Linked DNA regions of Mus musculus. The protein of the gene in region 5 binds, or shares a complex with, the protein of the main gene of each other region. Links are inferred from orthologs where the notes say so. Each region holds a gene or a part of one and is shown on either strand. Other genes may lie near its edges. The genes, in order: Pbrm1, Dpf1, Dpf3, Smarcd2, Smarcc2 and Actl6b.

Evidence for each region.
Region 1: Smarcc2 (region 5) and Pbrm1 share a complex: the UniProt entries of both Homo sapiens proteins name them as parts of the SWI/SNF-B (PBAF) chromatin remodeling complex. The link is inferred for Mus musculus from reciprocal best matches to the Homo sapiens genes SMARCC2 and PBRM1.
Region 2: Smarcc2 (region 5) and Dpf1 share a complex: the UniProt entries of both Homo sapiens proteins name them as parts of the neuron-specific chromatin remodeling complex. The link is inferred for Mus musculus from reciprocal best matches to the Homo sapiens genes SMARCC2 and DPF1.
Region 3: Smarcc2 (region 5) and Dpf3 share a complex: the UniProt entries of both Homo sapiens proteins name them as parts of the BAF complex. The link is inferred for Mus musculus from reciprocal best matches to the Homo sapiens genes SMARCC2 and DPF3.
Region 4: Smarcc2 (region 5) and Smarcd2 share a complex: the UniProt entries of both Homo sapiens proteins name them as parts of the BAF complex. The link is inferred for Mus musculus from reciprocal best matches to the Homo sapiens genes SMARCC2 and SMARCD2.
Region 6: Smarcc2 (region 5) and Actl6b share a complex: the UniProt entries of both Homo sapiens proteins name them as parts of the BAF complex. The link is inferred for Mus musculus from reciprocal best matches to the Homo sapiens genes SMARCC2 and ACTL6B.

Annotation. Positions count from the first base shown.
Region 1 is NC_000080.6:31,022,138-31,025,637, reverse strand, and holds part of Pbrm1 (protein polybromo-1), read right to left. Parts: intron 2,919-3,500; 5' UTR 2,779-2,918; intron 2,572-2,778; exon of another isoform or gene 2,507-2,571; coding exon of another isoform or gene 2,459-2,506; intron 141-2,458; coding exon of another isoform or gene 126-140; coding exon 1-125. UniProt on the Homo sapiens protein: Involved in transcriptional activation and repression of select genes by chromatin remodeling (alteration of DNA-nucleosome topology). Required for the stability of the SWI/SNF chromatin remodeling complex SWI/SNF-B (PBAF).
Region 2 is NC_000073.6:29,311,001-29,314,500, forward strand, and holds part of Dpf1 (zinc finger protein neuro-d4), read left to right. Parts: intron 1-264; coding exon 265-392; intron 393-606; coding exon 607-696; intron 697-1,847; coding exon 1,848-1,926; intron 1,927-2,081; coding exon 2,082-2,213; intron 2,214-3,138; coding exon 3,139-3,189; intron 3,190-3,282; coding exon 3,283-3,402; intron 3,403-3,500. UniProt on the Homo sapiens protein: May have an important role in developing neurons by participating in regulation of cell survival, possibly as a neurospecific transcription factor. Belongs to the neuron-specific chromatin remodeling complex (nBAF complex).
Region 3 is NC_000078.6:83,484,937-83,489,141, reverse strand, and holds the start of Dpf3 (zinc finger protein DPF3), read left to right. Parts: upstream 1-1,405; 5' UTR 1,406-1,433; coding exon 1,434-1,465; intron 1,466-4,205. UniProt on the Homo sapiens protein: Belongs to the neuron-specific chromatin remodeling complex (nBAF complex).
Region 4 is NC_000077.6:106,270,173-106,274,324, forward strand, and holds the start of Smarcd2 (SWI/SNF-related matrix-associated actin-dependent regulator of chromatin subfamily D member 2), read right to left. Parts: upstream 2,801-4,152; 5' UTR 2,537-2,800; coding exon 2,321-2,536; coding exon of another isoform or gene 2,261-2,320; intron 1-2,260. Other genes in the region: Tcam1 (testicular cell adhesion molecule 1), read left to right, coding at 3,462-3,479. UniProt on the Homo sapiens protein: Involved in transcriptional activation and repression of select genes by chromatin remodeling (alteration of DNA-nucleosome topology).
Region 5 is NC_000076.6:128,472,815-128,476,314, reverse strand, and holds part of Smarcc2 (SWI/SNF complex subunit SMARCC2), read right to left. Parts: intron 2,115-3,500; coding exon 2,055-2,114; intron 1,944-2,054; coding exon 1,906-1,943; intron 1,633-1,905; coding exon 1,502-1,632; intron 1,323-1,501; coding exon 1,251-1,322; intron 1-1,250. UniProt on the Homo sapiens protein: Involved in transcriptional activation and repression of select genes by chromatin remodeling (alteration of DNA-nucleosome topology).
Region 6 is NC_000071.6:137,563,546-137,566,812, reverse strand, and holds part of Actl6b (actin-like protein 6B), read right to left. Parts: intron 2,323-3,267; coding exon 2,228-2,322; intron 2,161-2,227; coding exon 2,054-2,160; intron 1,123-2,053; coding exon 1,033-1,122; intron 837-1,032; coding exon 775-836; intron 284-774; coding exon 169-283; intron 17-168; coding exon 1-16. UniProt on the Homo sapiens protein: Involved in transcriptional activation and repression of select genes by chromatin remodeling (alteration of DNA-nucleosome topology).

The DNA.
Region 1 (3,500 bases), on a different chromosome or scaffold from region 5:
GGAAGATTGGACAGTCTTCTCCTTTTCCTGCTTGGGCCTGGTGTAGGCACAGAATGGTGCCCGTCATCAAAGTCTCCACTGACACTGCTGGAAGGAGAGGTGGCTCTTCTTCTCTTGGAACCCATGGAATCCAACTTCTTCTGTAAGAAATAATTAGCCAAGTTCTTATATTTAATCTTTAACAATGTCAACAAACTCTTAGCAGGGCACATATCACCAAACTTCTCATTCATTTAAGATAGCTGATAGAGTTTTTTTTTTTTCCCCCCAGAGGAATTGAACTAGCTTTAAGTTCTTTTGTTAATTTAAGTGCTAGACCTCAATGATTTTTTAGCCTTTTACTTATCAGAATGCTGTACCATCAAACTCTGATAGGATAAATTTGGCAGAAGTATACACATTTGTATGTCAATAATTCTAAATTAGCCATTTCTTGCTCCAGATTTATCTTGGAATGTGGCTTCCTAATTCATGTATAGTCATTTTTTAAAAAAAGTATTATTTTTTATGTGTACAGGTGTTTTGCCTGTGTAAGTATCTGTGCACCACATGTGTGCCTGATGCTAGAGAAGATCAGAAGAATGTATCAGATCTCCTGCAACTGGAGATACAAATGGTTGTAGGCTGCCAAGTAGGTGCTGGGCAATAGCCCCAGGTTCTCTGGAAGAGCAGCCAGCACTTAAACACTGAGCCATCCTTCTAGTCCTCTAGTCTTCAATAGTGCACTGGAAGCACTGGTCCCTAAGACCCTGAGGCCCAGGTACACATGGGGACTCTAAGGTCATTACCAAGGGTTAGTAACTTCAGCTGCTTTCCTGAATGTAACTAATACCTCAGTGGGCCACAGTGTAGAAAATGAAACTAAGAAGCAGTATCTGAAGCAAAGGGGATGGAGCAGTAAACTTCTTAGCACTGGAGAAGTACCCTAAAATTAACACCTTGAAAATGAATTATCCTCTTAAAGCAGAATTCATAAAAATACCTCTGTGAAACAATGTAAGTTTTGTTTTATCTGGGAAGAAATAGCAACTTGTACACTGAACTCTTCTATTAAGTCTTTCCTTTCAGTAAGAGATGTCCACTATACTCACAGATTTTGGAAAATAGCTTTAAGTCTTATTAGAATTAGACGATCTGGAAGAACATGCTATACACATGGGTTCTTGGGTAACGAATGTGTAGACATTTAGAAACACAAACACTTGTTGTTAGCTTGACTGATATTTTTGTTTGTCTGCTGACTTCAGCATTTTTATTGTTATTTGCAGTACTAGGGGCTGAATGTAGTACCTTTCACATGATAGGAAAGTGCTCCAACACTGAGCCCTATCATTAATACAAAAGGAACTCTGTGTGTGTGCCTGTCTGTCGCTGTGTGTGCAGGACATAAGTTGATGTTGGATGTCTCCATTTAGCACTTTCCCCTAACCCTGGAGAATATCTAGTCAGTCAGTGCCTGAGACCTACTTATCTGTTCCTCCAGTGAGGGGCTACAGACCCTACCACCCACACATGGCTTTTATGTGGGTGCTGGGGATCCAAAGTCAGAGCCTCATTTTTGCACAAGAACTTTAACCACTGAGATACCTTCCTAATCCTATAAGACACTATTCTTTGATAGGTGCAGTGGTGCAAGCCTTTAACCCCAGCACTTGACAAGAAAGGCAGAGGCAGGGGGAATCTCTGTGTGCTCAAGGCCAGAATGGTGTACATACTGACATCTAGGTCAGCCAGGGCTACATACTACCTCAAATAAAAAAATAAAAATAAACTACTTTTTAACTTTACAATATACGCATTTGGCTATAAGAAATGCAACCACAGAAATAAATTACTACAGTTAAAGGGTATAAACCCAAGGAAGTCCTACAATGCTTATATAGTTTAACAGTAGTATCAAATAGTGCATTGTAATTTCAAAGGACTTTCCTAAAGCTAAAAGTAACAATAGACTTTATTAGTTTCACTAAATAAACAACAGTAGACCAGTGGCTGCCAGTATTACAGAGAGAAAACTGGGGATCTCCAGGAAATAGAAAGCAAGAACAAAACAAACAAACAAAAAAATCCGTTGAGCAACTAAGAAACAAGAGGAGTCTTCTGTCTCTTGCTTTGAACTATAAAGTCCACACACTGTTTAAAACAGAACCCACAGTGATCATGTTCCTTCCTCTAGGCTTTGGTTTATTACCAAGTATATTAGTTTGAAATTGACTAAAAGTGGTTAACAGCTTCTAAAACCTTAAGTCAAGAACACTTAGGTACTGTTGTTGTTATAAAAGACTGCTAACTGGCCACAATGCCACAATTTAATGAAGTTAAGGACTAATCCTTGGAAACACTCTGATAAACACAGGAGGGACTCAGATGGGAAGAAATACTATAAAATTCAGAATGCTGAAGGGAAAAGGTAAAGAACGACAGAAACAGGAAAGGGTGAAGATGATCAGTAATTTACCAGCTTTACCAGAGCACAACCAGCGCCTCGAAAAGCCAATCTCCTCATTATGTCTGCAGGCCAACTGAAGCCCGTGAGAGAAGGGAGGGCTTATTCAGTTAGTCTATTCAGAACTGAAAGAGAAGAACAAGGCAGAGAAAGGGGAAATAGGGGGATAAATGAGTTACAAACAGACAGAAAACATACATTCAAATAGAATTGCTAAAGTGAGAGATACAGGCACATCAGTCAGCTCTCAGGTGCACCTGACATTTCTTTCCTTTAACAACCCAATGCTTCCACATGCTTAGAAATGTCTCACTGAGTTCACCTTTACTCACATGAAATGACTGTCAACTCCAGGAATGAAGCATGCCTGCCCAAGTGCCCCCTAGTCAATAAGAGCAGAGTTCAATCACAGAGCTGGAATGGAGAGTGCACACATGTGGGAGGCTCACATGTGACACCAAGTGTTGGCAAGCTGGAACAAACCAAGAACGGCTCATGAGAGCAAACTCTACAAAATTCTTCCTCCCCTCCACCCAAGCATCAGAGAAAAACATTTCTTTCCAAAAGCTCTATCTGCACTGGAAAGACACAGCATTTAAGTTTTAACAGGGCTTTAAAAAGTCTTCAATTATCTTGGCAATTCAAAATAACTGCTTTTTATAACGCACTGGAAAACAAATGACAAAAAAATGTAAATTATTAGTTTTGAATATATTGTAATTTTAGATGACACAACAACCCAGACCCCTTAATCTTTAATACACTTTCAAAAGATAAAAGATACAAGAGAGGGATTTTAAAAAATATTTTCTTATCCGAAGTATATACCTTTTAACTTGTAATGTGAAATAATCGATCCACACTTAGGAGTCAGACCTTCCACTCTAGTTATCTGTATGATGCTAGCCAAACTACAACTCAGATCAGTTTCTTTATCTTCAAATGCAAACAAGGGCTAGCAATAGCTAAGTTGGAAGAGTGGTTGCCTAGCAGATTGGAAGGCCCCAGGTTCAATCCCAGCACCACGTGGAACTGGGCATGGTGGTACACACAT
Region 2 (3,500 bases), on a different chromosome or scaffold from region 5:
CCTAAGGGTTGCCAGTGTATTGGAGTCTGGTTCTGTCTTCTTTATCTAGTAGAGCTGAGGGTGTGGCTGTGCCTTCCCAGTGTATGGATATTCTTTCCAGGGCTTGAGTCGAATCCTTCTGTCCATTGTTGGCTGTGTGTGGGACAGTGTGGGAGAGCCTGTCCCTGTCGAAAGGACCATGCCCCCACCCCCACCCCCTGCAACCCGGGCACTTTGGCCACAGCCTCTTCAACTGATACCACTTTCCCTGTGGCCCGTCCCCAGATTGTGAGGCACCTCTGAAGAAGGAGGGTGGCCTCCCGGAAGGGCCAGTCCTCGAGGCTCTGCTGTGTGCTGAGACTGGAGAGAAGAAAGTGGAGCTGAAGGAGGAGGAGACCATCATGGACTGTCAGGTAAGGAGCCCCTCCCCGGCTGCAGATGCTCTCACCACTATGCCTTCCTGCTCTGAGATGCCCGGCTCCTCAGGGCCTCTGGGTACCCTATGGCCCCGATCTCCCAGAACACCTCTGCTTGTAGAAGGGTCCCTGACCTGCTCCCCCACCCTACCTGCAGCACATCAGTGCCCCCACCTTCTTGACCCCCCAATCTCCCTTCTACTGGGCCCAGAAACAGCAGTTGCTGGAGTTTCCGCATGATCTCGAGGTAGAAGACTTGGAGGAAGACATTCCCAGGAGGAAGAACAGGGCAAGAGGAAAGGTACCTTCCAGCAGCTTCCCTCCCGCCTCCTCCCCAGAGCCACGTAAAGGAGTAGAGGGCTTTGCACCCATTTTTATGGGTGAGGAAATGGAAACTCAGTGGATTATAAACTTTTTCGAAAATGGAGCTTGTGGATCAGAACTGTCTTGCAGAGCTGGGTGTGGTAGCCCACACTTGTAATCCCAGCACCTGGGAGGCTGAGGCAGGAGAATTGCTACAAGTTTGAGACAAGTGAATTCCAGGCTATTCTGAACTAAATAAAGAGATCGTGTGCAAAAAGAGATTAAAAAAAAAAAATCCTAAACCAAACCAGCTACCCAGACAACAACATCAGCAACACACACAAACACACACACGCACCATGCACACACATACAAACACACTCACATAAACACACACACTTACAAATACACACACATACAAACATGTACACACACATACAAATACATGTGTACAAATATACACTCCACATGTACACATAAACACACATATACATGCACACACACACACACACACACACACACACACACTCACAACCTCTAATAAGAACAATAAAAAGGTGTTGGAACACAGATTTACTCCCAGCACTGGAGAGGCAGAGGCAAGAGGATCTCTGAGTTCAAGGCCAGCCTGATCTATAGAGTGAGTTCGCAGGTAGCTAGGACTGTGTGGAGAGACCCTGTCTCAAAACAACAACAAGAAGAATTATCTTCATAGGTGTACCGAGAGAAATTCAAAGGCTCACCACTAGAAACTGTGCCCAGTTTTAGTGGGGAAGATTTCATTATCGTTGTGTGGTTCTGGCACCCAGAATCTCACACTCACATGACACCTGCTCTGTCACTGAGCCACGCCCCCAGTGCTGAAAAGAAAAACTTTAATTTTTTTCTTCAGTTTGACTTTCAAGTCTAAACGAAGAAGCCCACTAAGGCATGGTAGCACATATCCCATAATTCAGAAGCAGGAGGGCCACTGCATGTTTAAGGCCAGCCTGATCTACAGAGTGAATTCCAGGTCAGGCAGGGCTACATAATGAGACCCTGTCTCAAGCAACAACAGCAACAACGACGACAAACTCAAAAACCCCAAGAATGATGAGCCTTTCTTTCCCTGGCTTTCCAGCTCCTTACTCCTAACCCTCCTCCCTACAGGCATATGGCATTGGAGGTCTCCGCAAACGCCAGGACACCGCATCCCTGGAGGACCGAGACAAGCCGTACGTCTGTGATAGTGAGTTCTGCAGAGGGGAAAGAGAGATGGGGGTTGGGGGGGGGGCAGTGACCTCTCCCTTATGGCCCTCAGCAGAGCAGGTGGTGTGAACCTGGAGGCCAGGGTGGAGGAGGTGGCCCCGGAGTCTGACAATCACCCACTCACTTCCCCTCCAGTCTGTGGGAAGAGATATAAGAACCGGCCAGGACTCAGCTACCATTACACCCACACCCACCTGGCTGAGGAGGAGGGGGAGGAGCACACTGAACGCCACGCCCTGCCTTTCCACCGGAAAAACAACCATAAACGTGAGTTGGAGGGTCAAGGCTGGTGGGTGAGGTGCCAGGGGTGGGGCGGGAGCAATGGAGCCTGGAAATGTCTGCGGACGGGGAGGTGGGGGCACATTTAGACATTTCTGGAAAATCTTCAGCTTAACGGTTCCCTCCTCCACCAACCATAGGGATGCTGGCTCTGGGGTTGTCATGACAACCAACTCTCTCTCTCTCTCTCTCTCTCTCTCTCTCTCTCTCTCTCTCTCTCTCTCCCTCTCCCTCCCCCTCCCTCATTCTCTCTCTCTCTCTCTCTCTCTCTCTCTCTCTCTCTCTCTCTCTCCCTCATTCCCTGCCCGGGCATAATATTTCTGGGTCTGATTTATTGTTTCAATTAGAGCTCTGAGGGGGGTGGTAGATGACTTCCCCACCCCCACCCCAGACCTCCCTCGTCTCCTTCTCTACTATGTTAGGATCCAGGGCAAGGTCGGTGGCCCCCAGGGTCCTTGACACCCACCCATGGCTGTTCCATGCCATGATGACAGCTGAGCCACGGAGGAAGTGGACTATCTCTCACCTGTCCCTCAAAGAGAGCCTCTCCAAAAACCTCAGGCCTGGCCCAGAGCCCTCTGTGCTGTAAAAATGCCCTGATTAGGCTTTGCAGAACTGTCTGCTAATCGTTGGCCTAGGCAAACTTACTTAGGGGTGCCTAAGGGGGTGCCCCCTACATGATGGGGGCAGCCATGGGCTCTTGCTAAGGTTATACCTATCTCTCAGACTTTTACCCAAATAGAACGTATGGTTACCCCAAGAGTTAGGGTTCTGGTGAGAATGGCTTGCCCCTCCCCCAGCTTCCTTGCTACTTCCCAGTGCCTGGGCCAAGGGTCCCGCCCCTGGGGCTGAGGCTGGGGACAGATGGGACCTTGCCTATGGTAAGAGCCCCTTTCTGTCCCCCCACCCCCAGAGTTTTACAAAGAATTGGCCTGGGTCCCCGAGGCACAGAGGAAACACACAGGTAGGGGCACCTCCCTCCTCCCCGACTTCTGCAGCAGTCTTTGACTGGCACGCCTCACCTGTCCTGTGCCCACCGCTGCCTGCTGTCTTTCAGCCAAGAAAGCACCAGATGGCACTGTCATCCCCAATGGCTACTGTGACTTTTGCCTGGGGGGCTCCAAGAAGACTGGGTGTCCCGAGGACCTCATCTCCTGTGCGGACTGTGGGCGATCAGGTGACACTCACCACATATTTTCTGGAAGATGGCGGGGAGAGGGCATCTCAGAATCTGGATTTAGGGAATGGGAGGCAAGGGGAGCGAGGGCTGTACCC
Region 3 (4,205 bases), on a different chromosome or scaffold from region 5:
CCTACTAGGCAAACAAAGAGTTAAATATTTCCAGTCTGCACGCACAGACTCACTCAGCTTTGCTGGGCTTATCTGTAACTCTAATAGTGAATGGAGCTGGAATCTGAAAGTTCTGGACTGCTTTGTAATTGTATTTTACTTTATTCATCGAGAGTCGTAAAAGGCGAGAGCAGGTGGAATTGTGAACTGCAATTCAGCATCTCTCGGTTTCCTTTTCACTTCCCAGCCCCCAGCTATTTGACCTGATTAAACAGCCAAGGGGGCCATAGCCCGGCTTCTATAAGCTAACGATGCCTGTGCCCTCTAAGTGATTTCATGAGTTTTCGCCCACTCCGAGTCTCCCTGTGCTCCGTGGAAGTCTGAGTTCGCAGAAGTCTCTCAGTTTCTTCTGGGGTTTATCAGATTCTGAGCAGCCGCATACTGGGGAAGCCAGGAGTCACGTCTGAACATTCACTTGCAAATTCTTTTCACCTCCTATCTTAGTCCAGAAAGGTGACGCCTGAATTCTCAGAGCCGTTCCCAGAGGGGACTCAGGCAACACCTACCTCAGGCTCTAACAATTTTTGCATAGTTACTGACTTCCCTAGCTGCGTTTCCTAAAGTTGCCTCAAAATTTCCCCAACCTTCTGCCTAAAAAGCGCCAGGTCTCACTTCGCTCCCAAGCTGGCCATGTCAGATCAGTGTGAATCGTTGACAGTGGAGAACGGTGGTCGTAGGGGACCGCGCGGAGTGACCACCCGTGAATTACGTAACAAAAGCCGTGGCTGTCCGCAAGCCTGACACTGAGACATTCCAGGAGGAAGGGAGTTGCTGTCCTGGACTCTCCAGTTCTCAGAAACCGCCCGGGGAAGGTGGCTGAGATCAAGAAAACACTTCGGGAACAAGAATATTGAACAGCCGCGGAACCCAGAACATTATTAGCAAACAGTGGAACACGAGTAGTAATTTCTTGGAGGAAACTGCAGCCTTCCAACTTTTTGCACTGCAACACGGTGGTGTACAAGGAGCTCGGGGGTTAAAAACCGTGATTTACAAAGCCCAGAGCTAATGAATGGGGTTAAGTGGTTTTGTTGGCACTATGTAAATATTCTTGTCCAGGAGCGCAAACTCTGCAGTTATTTAGCAAAGTAGGGACTCCAACTAAGCGAGAATGCTCTCCCATGTTGTCTCCACGAGTTCCAATCTAAAAGGGCGCTACTAACACGGTACTGCCCCTTTAAGACCTGCTCGCTCTCGGGCTCTACAAAAGGGAGTGACCTCTGGGCTTTGACAGCTCCCCTAATAACTACCACCACGCAGGCCCCGCCCACTTGGCGACCAGCCGCGCCGATTGGCCGGTAGGCCGGTATCCCGTGCTCTGATTGGCCTGCCGCTTCCCCTGAGCGAACCTTTAGAACTCTGAGACAGACAATATTCTGTTACATTGTAGCAAAATGGCGACTGTCATTCACAACCCCCTGAAAGCGTAAGTAAGACTAAAAAATGTACATATTCCGCGTGGTTTCAATATGAAAAAAAGGCGCCTTGTGGAGCGCAGCCGGCGCCCGGCTCTCGCAGACACCTCCCGCTGCGCCCGGGCTCCTCTTTTCTTCCTGCTCTTACTTCTTCATCTTTTTTTTTCCTCCCAGCGCGCAGAAATGTCAGGAGATGCAATTAACAAAAAGAAAATTGTTACATTTGTGTTCTGCTTAATTGGCTGACCGGGACCGGGAGGGAACACAGAGCGGCGGCGCCGGCTCAGGAGCTGCGGGGGTCGTGAGCAGCCCGGGTCTTCACGGTTCTCGGAGTCCCCTGCCTCTCCCGGCGCCGCGCGGAGCTGGCTGAGGCTGGCCAGAGCGCGGGGTTGGCTGAGCCTGGCCGGAGCGCGGGGCAGAGACCGCGTCGTGCGCTCGGCTGAGCCCTGCACTCCAAGCCCGAACCTTCCCGGCCCCGCTGCTCGTCCACCCAGGCGGGCAGACGGACCGCAGCGGCTGCGGAGTTTTGCAGGGCGTTCGCTCTGCCTTCCGAGCTCTCGCAGGGAGTTTGTGTAAACCTTCCGGAGTTGGGAGGACAGCGCGCGGAGCGGCGGGTCCCGGGAGTCCTGGGGCCCAGGTGCTTGCCCCGGGCTTTTCCACTCCGGCAGCCGGGGATCAGGCAGGCGCTCCGGGCGGTCGCCGGTGTGTCTGTGTATTTGTAGGCTAACTGGCTCTAGTAAATTAACGATCCGGGTTAACTTGGGGTTGATATGGAGGCAGGGAAACTGCAGGTCTTATAAATGGTGTGCTTGCCTGCTCTGGGTGAAAAGCCGAGGCGGTGGAGGCGGCGGTGGAGGGCTCTGGCGACAGCGAGGGGCAGGTGCCTCCCGGAGACTTTGAGCGGACACAGGGGGGCGGGCTGCGCAAGGACTCGCGGGGGCCGGTTCCCGATCGGAGCTGCCTGCCCGCCGGTCTTCCTTCCTTCCTTCCTTCCTTCCTTCCTTCCTTCCTTCCTTCCTTCTTCCAGTCGGTGGACTGAATATGAAGCCGCAAGTCCGCGGGTGATCGCGGAGCCGGGGGTGGCCTCGGAAAACTAGTGTGGCTCTCAAGGGGCGCTATTGGCAGGCATGTTGGCAGAGGGTGGATCCTTGGGAATCGCGGCGCGGCGTGGGCACCCAGTGGGTGCCCGGTGTACTAGGACTTCCCCGCCCTGATGAAAGCCAGTGGGAGTCGGAGGGTGAGCGTGGGTGTTTAGTGCCAATTCTTCCCGGTGTGTGTCAGTGGTCGATCTTGGCTCTTTTAGCTGCGCGCTACAGCGTCCCTGGCTATGGGAGTCGAAAACACCGTTCGCTTTGGGGAGCAGCAGGGCGGCGGCGAGAGAGTGTGCGTGGGATTCCTAGTGCCAAGAAACCCGTAGGGAGAACCCGCTGCGTTTGCACCAGCCAACAACCAGGAATAGGGCAGGGATGTCCCAGATCTTGGAGTTTCCATGAGATATTGCTGTAAAGACGGAGGCTGAGCTTGATGCGAGTTCCTGGCTCCCGTTCTCGTTCGGAAGCTCAGCTACTTTGCACTCGCGACAGCGTCTCACCGAAGAGAGAAATTGTTTTATGGCAGAAGAAATGGGCGTAACTTCCCCGCTCCTCGCCGACTCCCGCCGCCACACCGCTGGGGCTGGGAGTTTCTCCAGAACCCACACACAGCTGATTTGCAATTTCCTCATTTCCAGCCGAAATCACGTAGCCGAGCTGATGCTGCTTGGTAAACTCAAGTCGGAGAGATCTATTTGCTATGTGTACAGGGTTCTTCATTGGCAAAGCGGCATCCTTGATGCCCGGGAGCGGGCTTACGCTCGGGCGCGCGCAGGAGCTCCACACTCCTGGGTCCCCCAGATCTTTCCACTTTTTTTTTTTTTTTCCACAGAAGAGTGCATGTATAAGAAATTGTGGGGGAGAAGGAACAGAGAAGCTAGAAGGTGGCCAATCAGTTAATAGAACTAGTTCAGATTTACACTTGTATCCCTTAATAATTGGAAATACTTGCCGTGGGATGCATTTGTAACTCCGTCTTGGCTCACGCACGCGGACGCTCACACAACACCCCTGTCTGCCTTTCCTCAGAGGAAGTCGAATGGTCACTTATAATTAGCCGCCCCCTTTTGCATCCAGTCCTCTTCCCCTGAGGGCTAAGGGTGTAAATAATAACCCCAATCGGTCAAGCTATTTGCACCCTGGACATTTTAAAAACTCCGCACGCAGGAGCACACACATCGTTACCGGGAGACTGAGGCCATCTGCTTTATTATTATTATTATAAAAACAACTTGTTTAATAAAACATCTTATACATGCCATTTGTTTCTAGAAGTTGCTGATCAGGAAACAAAACACACGTGAATAAATTATGCATGGGCCAAATTAGAACAAAGCATAGCAACCCAGCAAGCTGAAGGGATGGATGGGGGGGGGGCAGGGAGGAGGAGGAGTGAGGAGAATGGCTTGGAGAGCTTATGTGTTTATCCTTGTGTGCCCCTCCTGACAATGAACCGGAGCTCCAAACTGCATTAGCATTTTCTCCGGGTGCAAGCAGTCTTTCTCGTCTTAAAAAGGCAACATCACGGACGCCCCCTACAGAAGAAACTGGTCACACAAAGATTTCCTCTTGGGCCTGGGGATAAGCAGCAGTAGTTACGGTGTTGGGAAGAAGCCAGCTCGGGTTTCTTTCATGCCACCCTGTGTAGGGCTATGCCTTA
Region 4 (4,152 bases), on a different chromosome or scaffold from region 5:
AAGTCTGCTCACCCCAAGAACTCTAACCAGGAGCCCCTCTGGCCTCAGATCCCAAGACTTGCTGGAAGTTGGACATGGGAAGAAGCAAGCGGGATCTCCTTCAAACTCAACCAATGCTAACTGGGTTCTCCTTCCCTCCTTTCCCCTGCCTTTCCCTGGAGGAGGAAGAGGAAGAAGAAGAGGAGGAGGAGGAGGAGGAAGAGGAGGAGGAGGAGGAGGGGGAGAGGAAACATAGTTGGTATGGGATGCCCAGATTCAAGGCTATCTCCTTTCTCACAACTAGCAGCCGCAGCCATTTGGCTGGCCAGCCTGGCCTCAGCATAGACCCAAGGCTACTCTACAAAATATGCAGGAATCCATCTTCCAGTCTTCAACAGGGGCTTTCCCAATGGCATGTTCTCTATCAGCTGCTTTCCAAGGAAATGGGTCTACATAGTGAGTTACAGGACAGCCAGGACTATATAGAGAGACTTGGAAAACCAACCAACCAAACAGACATCCCCAGTGCCTGTAGGAAGCTTCCAGACCAGCTCTAAACAAGCAGAGCCAAGGGCTGACGCAGAGACTCATCAGTGATATACTAGGCCCATGAATCTCCAAAGAAAGCCACATGGGAAAGATAAACCCCGCTAGTATCCTTGGAACCACGTCTATCTCTGTTTATACCCAAACTCGTCATTTTCTTTTTAGATAGGAGTTGAAATGAAGGGGGTCACTTATCCCCACTCCGACCCCCAGTTAGGTATCTCCTGGGTATCTGATTCCTGGGCTGGAGAGATGGCTCAGTGATTAAGAGCGCCGACTGCTCTTCCAAAGGTCCCGAGTTCAAATCCCAGCAACCACATGGTGGCTCACAACCATCTGTAACGAAATCCGATGCCCTCTTCTGGTGTGTCTGAAGACAGCCACAGTGTGCTTACATATAATAAATAAATGAATCTTTAAAAAAAAAAAAAGAAATCTGATTCCTGGGTGGAATATGCATACATCATGAAGATCTATTTCTGAGACTTCTACCTAGAGACACCAGCAGGGGACAGAGCAAGCTACAGTGCACACCTCTCACCTCTCTGGCACATAGGTTGAGAGACATATGGCCTTGTCAGGAACCTGAGGGATAAGGAAAGAGAGGTTGGGCGTGATAGTGTGTGACTGTAATGCCAGACACTTGAGAGAAAAGAGTTCAAGGTGGGCTTTGGCTACACAGCCAGCCTGGACTATATGAGACCCTGTATCAAAAAGCAAGTAACAAAAGTGACAAGGATGTGGGAGAAGGATGGGCACAATCCCCAGGAAAGGAGGTGCAGCTCCCTGATACAGCAATCGTCTGCCACGTGCAAAGCCCTGCCTGGATTCCATGCTCAGCACCAAAATGCAAAAGCAAAACAAAATTCCCAAACATTCTGGAGCCACTTGAACCAGAGCTCTGGGGAATGAGGAGCGCCACATGCAGAATCAGGCTGAGTTCCCAATGCACTGACCACGGGTCCTGTCTCTGCTTGTCAATGGCCTTTGATGCTGCAACCTGAGACAGCTCTCTGCCAAGACAGAAGGGTCAGGGCAGTACCCTGTGCAGCCCAAGACCAGCAGGACTCCACAAAGCCTCCCTGCTCCTCCAAACTTTACTGGACACTGGCATCAAGAAGGAAAGCCCCGTACAGAGGATATCTTGAATGGTCTGTTAATGGGATCGGGCCTTCTTCAGACCTGGACACAGCTATTTCTAATCTATCCTGGAGTTATCTGGGCCCAATCTCTTTAGTCTCCCATTTCGTAGGAAGCCTGGCTTCCTTCCTCCTCAACTTGAGCAGCTGGGAGCCATCTCAGACATACTAACGCTCTGCCAGTTCCCAACTAGGAAGAAAAAAAAAAAAAAAAAGAAAGAAAGAAAGCCAAGGCAGAGATGCAGTGGGACCGAGGCCAAAGAAAGAGTAACCCTGTTTTCTCACTAACGACCCTCTTCCAAATTTTCCTCACCACATCCCGGGTCACTCCCTCACCTCCACTCCGGGACCTGTCTTACACTTTCAACCTGATTGCCCACAATTCTCTAGATCTCACGAAGCCTCCATCTCTAAGTTACTCGGAGCCAAGAAGCCCCGGGACTCCTCTAACTGCTCAAGCCCTCCACCGCAGAGGGCTTTCACCCTTTCCCCAACACTGCCTCCAACCCCGAGCCACTAACCAAGGGACTCTGGCCTGCCCGCCACCAGCCCTCGACAGTTCCTCCTGCAGTGTCCCCTGGGCCGCCTGTCCTCACCTGAGGCCCCAGGGAGACCGACACAGCGCCCTCGCGGCGCCGCTCGCCTGCCCTCCTCACCTGGTACTGCGCCGCGGGGCCAGCGGGGCCCATGGGGCGGAAGGCGGCGGCCCCCGGTACCCCCATGCCTCCAGAAGGCCCCGGGCCCCTGAGCGCCGGGCTGGGCAGCATTCCGGGTCCCGCAGGCGGAGGCGGCGCACCAAGGGCCGCGGCAACGGCGCCGCCGCCGGGGCTCAGCGGAGGCAGCGGGAACCCGCCCGCGCCACGGCCGGACATCACTCTGTCCCGTCCCGCGGTGCAGCGATCCGGCCTCCGGTCTCCGTGTTGAGTCCGCTCCGCGAGCTACGTTCCGCGATCCGGGACTTCCCGATTTTACTACCGGGTTCCGGGATCTTCTACTCCAAGTTCGCAAGTTCTTTGCAGCCCGGCTTTAGGATCCCGCGGCCCCTCTGACTCCGCTCCTGCCAGGGATACTCCAGATCCGGGATGTGCCGCGAGCCCGCAGGCCTCTCCCGGCCTCCGGAGGTTTGATCGCCGGAGTCCAGTTACCCAGAGGCGGTTACGAACTCCCAGCCCCGCCCAACCTAGACCCTGCAGGCCCCGCCCCTGCCCGGCAACCCAATCGAGAATGCCTCTTTAAATCCCGCCCTCGCGAGACCCGCCTCAAACCAGCACCTCCCATAACTGACGGCCTTAGAGCCCCGCCCTTGGGGGAGGCGGCCTTTTCCCGGAGGAGCGGGAGCGGAAGCTGCACGCGGAAGCGCGGAGGAGAAAGGCGTGGGGTCAGAGTTCGAAGGTCGCGTAGGGCCGTCCGAACTGTTAGGTGTTTGCTGTTTGCTCCGTAGTGCTGCTGCCTCGGCGAGATCCCCGATATGGCCCATCCAAAACAGTTCCGTCAATTCTGCGTCTTCAAGCCTTAAAAATAAGCGATCCGCGGCGGGAAAGCCGCCAACCACTTTTTAAGAGCCCATCTCGGGGCCGGTGGCATAAGGCACCCCACACCCACCCACCCATCTACCCCCAGAAGCCTGTATTGGTTGCTCCGCGCTTCCAAGGACATGGGCGGCCCCAGACGTGACCCAGCTGAGTGAAAGCTTGGCTTGGCCCAACTCCGAGTACTTAACTGCACTAACTTGCCCGTGCCTTTCTTTAAGGAAGCCTGGTAATTCGCAGAAAATGTTTTTAGGTGAAGGGATTTTGCATGCTGAGAGAACTCCAGGTACTGAAATAAGTTTTATCCAGTTTGTATAGGACTTAGTTTTGAAAAGTTGAGAATCAGCCGGGCGTGGTGGCAAACGCCTTTAATCCCAGCACTTGGGAGGCGGAGGCAGGTGGATTTCTGAGTTCAAGGCCAGCCTGGTCTACAAAGTGAGTTTTAGGACAGTCAGGACTACACAGAGAAACCCCGTCTCGAAAAACCAAAAAAGAAAAGAAAAGTTGAGAACCTTTTCAGAAACCACTGGCTTCGGCTATGTTATAGACCTACCCTCTGTCAATGTGGTATCTCCTACCCACGGTATAGAATAGTGCTACTTAACTAGGCACTGAAAATCCTCAGAATCAGGTTGGGGGTGTAACTCAGGTTATAGCGTGCACAAAGCCCTGGGCTTGAACCCCAGACTGCATCAACTACATGGTGGTGCATCCTCAAAATCCCAGCACACAGGAGGAGGCAGGTGGGCCAGAAGTTCAGGATGGTTCTCAGCTGCATCACCAGTTGATTCTACAGGAGACCCTATATCAGAAGAAAGCCGAGCTTTTTGTTAAAATGTGGTTTATGGTTCAATGAAATGGGGGCAGGGTACAAGATTCTGTATTTCTTTTTTGGTTTTTCAAGATAGGATTTCTTTGTGCAGCCCTGGATGTCCTGGAACTAGGTCTGTAGACCAGGC
Region 5 (3,500 bases):
CCAAGTATTGGCAAAGAGTCAGCGAGACGAATAAGAAGTCTGCTGAGGGGCTGGAGAGATGGCTCAGTGGTTAAGAGCACCGACTGCTCTTCTGAAGGTCCTGAGTTCAAATTCCAGCAACCACATGGTGGCTCACAACCATCCGTAATGAGATGAGACACACCCTCTTCTGGTGTGTCTGAAGACAGCTACAGTGTACTTAGATATAATAATAAATTAATCTTAAAAAAAAAAAAAGAAAAAGAAGTCTGCTGAGGGCTCAAGGTGGGAGGATACTGGAAGAGTGTGTCTTAACCAACACATGAAGAATGCAGTTATCAGAGTCAATAAACACCGACTTAGAAGCCCTAAATCTGTAGCTTATTATTCTTTTTTAAGATCAGGTCTCACAATATAGCCCTGGCTGGCCTCCATCTGCAATGATGAGACTTAGAGATCTGCCCGCCTCTGCCTTCCAGCATGCACAAAACGGTACAAAGACTCTCATGCATGTCAGGCAAGTGTTCTACTACGGAGGGAGCTATGCCTTCCAGCCCTAATCCTGGACATATGTGCTACTCTTTCATAATGCACGCTCCCATCTCATAATCCTCAGAGCCGGACCTCTTAGTTCCTTCTTCTCTTTGACAAAGTCTAGCTAGGAAGCCCAGGGCGGCCACGAATTTGAGTCTTACAGCAGCCTCCCAAGTGCTAGGACTATCCCCATGTGCAACCAGGCTTGGTTTTTATCTTATCTTGTTTTTTTGTTTTGGTTTGGTTTGCTTTTTGGTGTTCCAAGACAGAATTTCTCTTTGCAGCCCTGGGTCTCCTGGAACTACTAGCTCTGTAGACCAGACTGGCCTTGAACTCAAGAGCTCTGCCTGCCTTTGCCTCCCGAGTGCTGGGATTCAAGGTGTACACCATCACCTTATTTTTGTTTTTCAATCTAATCTCATCATTTACATTTTAATTAAAGTTGTTTCATACACTGGGGGTATGTGAATTTCAGGTCACATAGCAATTATGGAATGAAATTCTCTGCATGGTTTTTAACTGGAAGCAATGGGAACGGCGGTGCAGGTACTTGTATGCTCTACTCTACCATCCTCAGACAACCTCCGAAGAACATGTTTAAAGGGTTAGGCTGTGGCTGTCTAGTGGTGTCTATCATGTCTTTGTAAGTCTAACAGAGAGCTTGGTTGAAAGTTGCTAAGTCTGGAAGGGTGAGTGCAGAAAGGACCCCAAAAGAAAATCATAAGCGGAAATCTTACATCTCTGGAGTCTTAGACTTGTTCTTGCCGTTGAAGAACTCAGGAAGAGCCCTCCGTTCAATGGCATGGACGCTGCAAGATAAATCACAACGGGTTTAGAAGGCCCAGGGAAGGAGTAGGAGCCCAAGGGCGGAAGGCTTGAAAGGTGGGGTTGGCAAGGGGCTCTAAGCTGTAGAGGGGCAACAAGAGAGATAACCCATTGATTATGGGTTAATCACGGGGGAGGAAGGAGGAAAGAAGCAGGGCAGTACCTGTTGTAGTCAAACCAGGCGGCGTAGCTGGGGATGATGATGTGGTGGGTCTGCTCGGTCACATTGTCCTCATGCAGGTCCGGGTTCTTCGTCTGCTCGCCTTTGTTGCCCGTGCTGTTCTCATCCTCGTCCTATGAATATGGAGGCTGCTGGACACTCAGCATTCCCCTCCCTGCCTAGCAGCCCTCAGCTTCTCCTACACCCAGGAGCACCAACAGGGGAGAAGGATGAGGATGAGCACTGTGGGCCCTGGGACGCTAGGGGGCTGGGGTCCGAGCAGCAGGCACAATTCAGCTATGGCGGGAAAAGCCCGGGCAAAAGGAACACTGTGATCCCTGTCCCAGAGAGGTGGAGCCTCTCTAAGCTAATCACAGAGAGACAGAGCCTGCCTAAACTGGCTGCACCTTGCCGGTGGTCTCCATGCTTTCATCGTCCTGTTCATCTGCAAGGGAAAGAAGACAGGCTGAGCCTCTACAGGAGCAGAGGGCGACGGGAAGGTGGGCTGAGCTCCCCCATGCCTCAGGCACTGCCTGCTTGGGGCTCCCTGGCTTACCCAGGTCAGTCATGGTGCCGCCTTTGACTGGGGCTGACTCAGAGTCCTTTTTAGTGTTGACTGCAAAGAGAAAAAGCATTAGACATGTTGGCCAAATCAAGCTCTCACGTCTCAGCTGCTAACAGTTTTACATATGCTGCTTCTTCAGAACCCTTTGAAACTCGTTTTCTATTCTACTGCCTTGCCCAGCATCTATGTGCGTGCACTCCTATGACTCTCCGGCCTCAGTATCCTGAGGGCTACTCCTGTATGACTGCTCTTTGTCTCCCTGCTTGTCTCCCTATACAATCTTTTAATGGACTGAGTTTGAGCTAGATCATGCTAGGTAAGTAGCTAGATATCATCCCTTGATATACTACTTGCAACTGAACCTAAGGCCTAACTTACGAATATGTCAGTGTTCTACCAGAGTTACAGTCCCAGCACCAAGGTTTTTCTGGTTTTTTTGAGGGGGGCGGGGCGGGGCGGGGCGGGGCGGGGCGAAGGAGCAGGGTCTCATGTATTCCAGGCCTCTAACTTGCAAAGAACATCCCTAATTCTCTGCATCTGCTCCTGAGTGCTGAGGTGACAGGTGTGCGCCACCACCAAGCTCAGTTCCCCAGCACTTTTTTCTTTTTCTTTCCTTAAACTTTTTACTTTGGCTTTGCCTTTTTCAAACAGCCTCAGGCTGGAGAGAAGGCTGAGAGGTTAAGAGCACCGATTGCTCTTCCAGAGATCCTGAGTTCAATTCCCAGCAACCACATGGTGGCTCACAACCATCTGTAATTGTAGTCCCACAGAATCCAATGCCCTCTCCTGCTACGCAATTTGTACTGGCAGACAAACACCCCTATACATGAACTATATTCATAACTACATCTTTACTTTTTTATTTAGTATTTTTTAAAAGAAAGAGACACAGACTCCATCAGCTCGAGCTGGTTTTGAATTCATTATGTAGCTCAGGCTGGCCTGCACTCCTGAACCATCCCTCTGCCTGCTGAGTGCTAGGACTAGAGACATGACCCACACTTGGCTTTCCTTCCTTTTTACTCTGAGACTGTCCCCTTCAGTTATGCAGGTTGGCCTCAGGGGTCATTCTGCAGGCCAGGCTGATTCTGTACTTCTTACATCCTCCTGCCTCAGCCAGGCAGGCCACTGAGATTATTACCTATGTTATGCCACCAGGCTGAGTTAAATGATGTGCTCTTAACTAGTAACACTGTTGCTTTGTTTTTTCCCAGACAGAGTCTCACTCTGTAGCTCTGGCTGTCTTGGAACTCACTATGTAGGCCAGGCTGGCCTTGAACTCACAGAGATTCACCTGCATCTGCTTCCTGGGTGCTGAGATTAAAGGTGTTTACCACCGTTTCCAGTCAGATCTTAATTAATTTTTGAAGACAGGGTCTCTGTATGAAACCTGGCTGTCCTGGAACTTGTGACCAGGCTAGCCTCCAGCTTACAGAG
Region 6 (3,267 bases), on a different chromosome or scaffold from region 5:
TATTCCCGGACAGGCCCTGTGGACAGAGGTGATATGGACTTGGGGCCTCTCCCTCCCTCTCCCCTAGACTCCTATCATCTTTTCCAGACTCCTTCACTACACCTCTGGATCCAAGACTTTAGGCAACCCTAACCCCAACCCCAACTAGTCCTCAGCATCCAGCCAAACCTTGACATTAGAGGGATCAAACAGGCCCTCAGGGATTCGAAGTCGCTCAGCGCCGTAGTCTGTGTTGTAGCCATTGGGCATTTCATAATGCACAGTGGGCATTTGTGCAGCTACCCTGCCCAAGAAAGGAGCAAGACTCTGTGTGATGTGGTGCCAGGTGGGGTGCTCTAGGGGTTCCCATGAACCCCAGTTCTGTGCCCATCTTTGTTTTTTGAAATGGGGTTCTCATGTAGCCCAATCATGCCTCCAACTCAATAAGTAGCAGAAGCTGGCCTTGAACTCCTGGACTCCTTGTCTCCAACTCCTAAGCACTGGCTTTCAGGCTTGTACAACCGTGGCCCCTAAGTGAGACTGAACTTTATACATACAGGCAAACCGAGCTATAGTCCCAGTGCCTTTACACACACACACACACACACACACACACACACACACACACACACACTTTTTGAGAGAGGGTTCTGCTATGTAGGCCACACTGACCTGAGACTCTCTCGATCTTTCTGCCTCAGCCTTCCTGAGTATTGACATTACAGGAGCCATAGCATTCCCAGCGTCAATCAATCCTACCCTCCTTACCACCATGCGGTGCTCAGCCCAACTCACTGTTCATCGTAAGGGGAATCAGACACCTGCAGTACGGAGGCCTGGAAGTCTTGGATCACCTCCTGAGAAGCAGGGAGGGGTGAGGTCTGGCTGCCCTCTGTCTCTATCGAGAGCCCCACCCCCACCCCCAACCCCAACCCCAACCCCAACCCCAACCCATCCACAGCCATCCCCTCCCCTCCCCTGGTTATAGCAAGGTGCCAGGGACTGACAGGGGTGGGAAGAGAGTAGGGAAACTGTTTTCAGCTACAGCCTCACGTTACACATGTAGTTATGCCAGGACTTGGAGACTTGGGGTAGCTTCTCCTTCTTCTTCCAGTTTGGGGGGGCTCCCTCCCGTACAGGCTCCTGTGAGGACACAGCCTTTGAGAGTCCTTCCCAGTTGGTGCTTGCCCTGCCCATTGGCACACGCTCGCCTCCCTGGAGCTCAGACAGCTCTGCAGCTGACCAGCCCTGAGATTCTGCTCTGTCTCCCAGGAGATAGAGTGGCTTGTCAGCCTTCCCTGACAGGGAAGTGAAGACAATGACAGGCTGTCCCATACATGAAACCTACACTGCAAATGTGATCAGAAGGAACTGAGCCAGAAGTGGGTAGAGTACTTGCTTAGCATTCAGGAAGCCCTGGGTTCCATCCCCGTCCGATGAAACCTGGTGTGGTGTTCTCCAGCAAAGCGAAGTAAAAGCTGGAGGATTGCTAGTTCAATTTAGCGCTCTCTCTCTTTCTCTCTCTCTCTCTCTCATATCTGGGAAGCTTTCATATGATACTCTGGGTTTCATGGCTCTTCATGTTCGTCTTTTGGTTTTGGTTTGGTTTGGTTTGGTTTGAGATGGGATTTATGTCATCCAGGCCTTCACACAACCAAGGTTTATATGGTGCTGGGGATCCAACTCAAGGTTCCTTGCATGCCAAGAGCTTGTTAACTGAAACACACCCCTAGTCCTTGGGGGTTTTTGTTGTTTACTTTTTCTTTTGAGACAGAATGGCTTGTGTAGCTCAGGCTGGCCTCCAGCTCACTGTTCCCAAGGCTGACCTTGAACTCCCGACCCTCCTGCCCCCGCCTCTCAAGTGCTAGGATTACAAACGTGCCTCTCCATAACTGGTCCTCACACATCTGGTCCAGTCATGACATGAAGCCTGTTTCCATGTCTGGATAGTGAGGACCTGGATCCCTGAGCCTTTGGGAGATTTGCTGCATTATCTCCTGGGCTTGGGGACTGATGGATATAAAGCAAATGCCAGAACTATGGATGGCATATCTGGGCACAGCACAGGGCCTACCTTGGCTGCAATCATGTAAGGAGGAATGATATCAATAGCCATTTCCTGGAAGAGCTCCCGGCACTGCATGGAGATGAAGTCCCCTGCCAGGGGGGACTTGACGATGCCTGGAAGAAGAAGCAGTCTCAGAACCAGGGCTCCCCAAAGCACCCCAGACCCCTGATAAGGCCCTACCTTGCTGTAGGACATAGCCATCATGGACTGGGATGGCTGTAGTGTGGGTGGCCCCACTGTCCAGCACCAGGCCTGTGGAGCGTCCATTTGCAAAGCTGTTGTGGGATGGGTCAGTCAAAGAATCAGCAGTAGCCAGTGAGGGAGCTGGGACCTGGGTCAGGCCTTAGTCCTTCTCAGTTCTTTCAGGGTAAGAGTCATCCCAGTCTGCAAATAGAACCTTTGGAGGTTTGTTTTTTTTTTTTCCTTTTTGCATATGTGTGGGCTTGTCTGTGTGTGTGTGTTTGTGTATGTGTGAGGGTTTGTGTATGAGTGTGTGTGTGTGTGTGTGCATGTATGCAGAGGCCCAAGGTTGATATCAAGACTCATTCCTGATCACTCTTTCAACCTATTCATTCAAGAAAGTGCTCTCAATTAAATGCAGAGCTCTCTAATACAGTTGGTCTTGCTGGCCTCCTGAGTCTGCATTTGCAAGTAGGTGGTCATGCCCACTGGGCAGGTATGTGGATGCCTACGGATCCACACTCTGGTCCTCGTCTTTGTGTGGTCGTTGATTTCATTGCTGAGCTGTCCTGGGTGGGTGCTGGGAATCAAACCCAATCCTATACAAGAGCAGCAAGCACTCTTAACTGCTGGGCTTTTGCTCCAGTCCCCCAACTTTTAATATATGTAATGTTCATTATATATGCTCATTAGATATAATATTTGCTATCTATAATATTTATTATATATAATTCATTATATGTATATATGTATGTATATGTATGTATGTATATATATATAGGTATGTGTGTATATATACATACATACATACATACATACATACATACACATACACACATGCACATATATATGTATATATATGTGGGTATATATATATGTGTGTGTGTGTGTGTGTGTGTGTATGTGTGTGTGTGTGTGTGTGTGTGTATGTTCAATTTAAGCCCAGGCCTTGAATGTGTATTTCATCTCCTTAATCCCTTTGAGTGCAGGGGTTCCAGGGTCATGTGGTCCTGTGTCCTGTGGACTCGCTGAATTGGGAT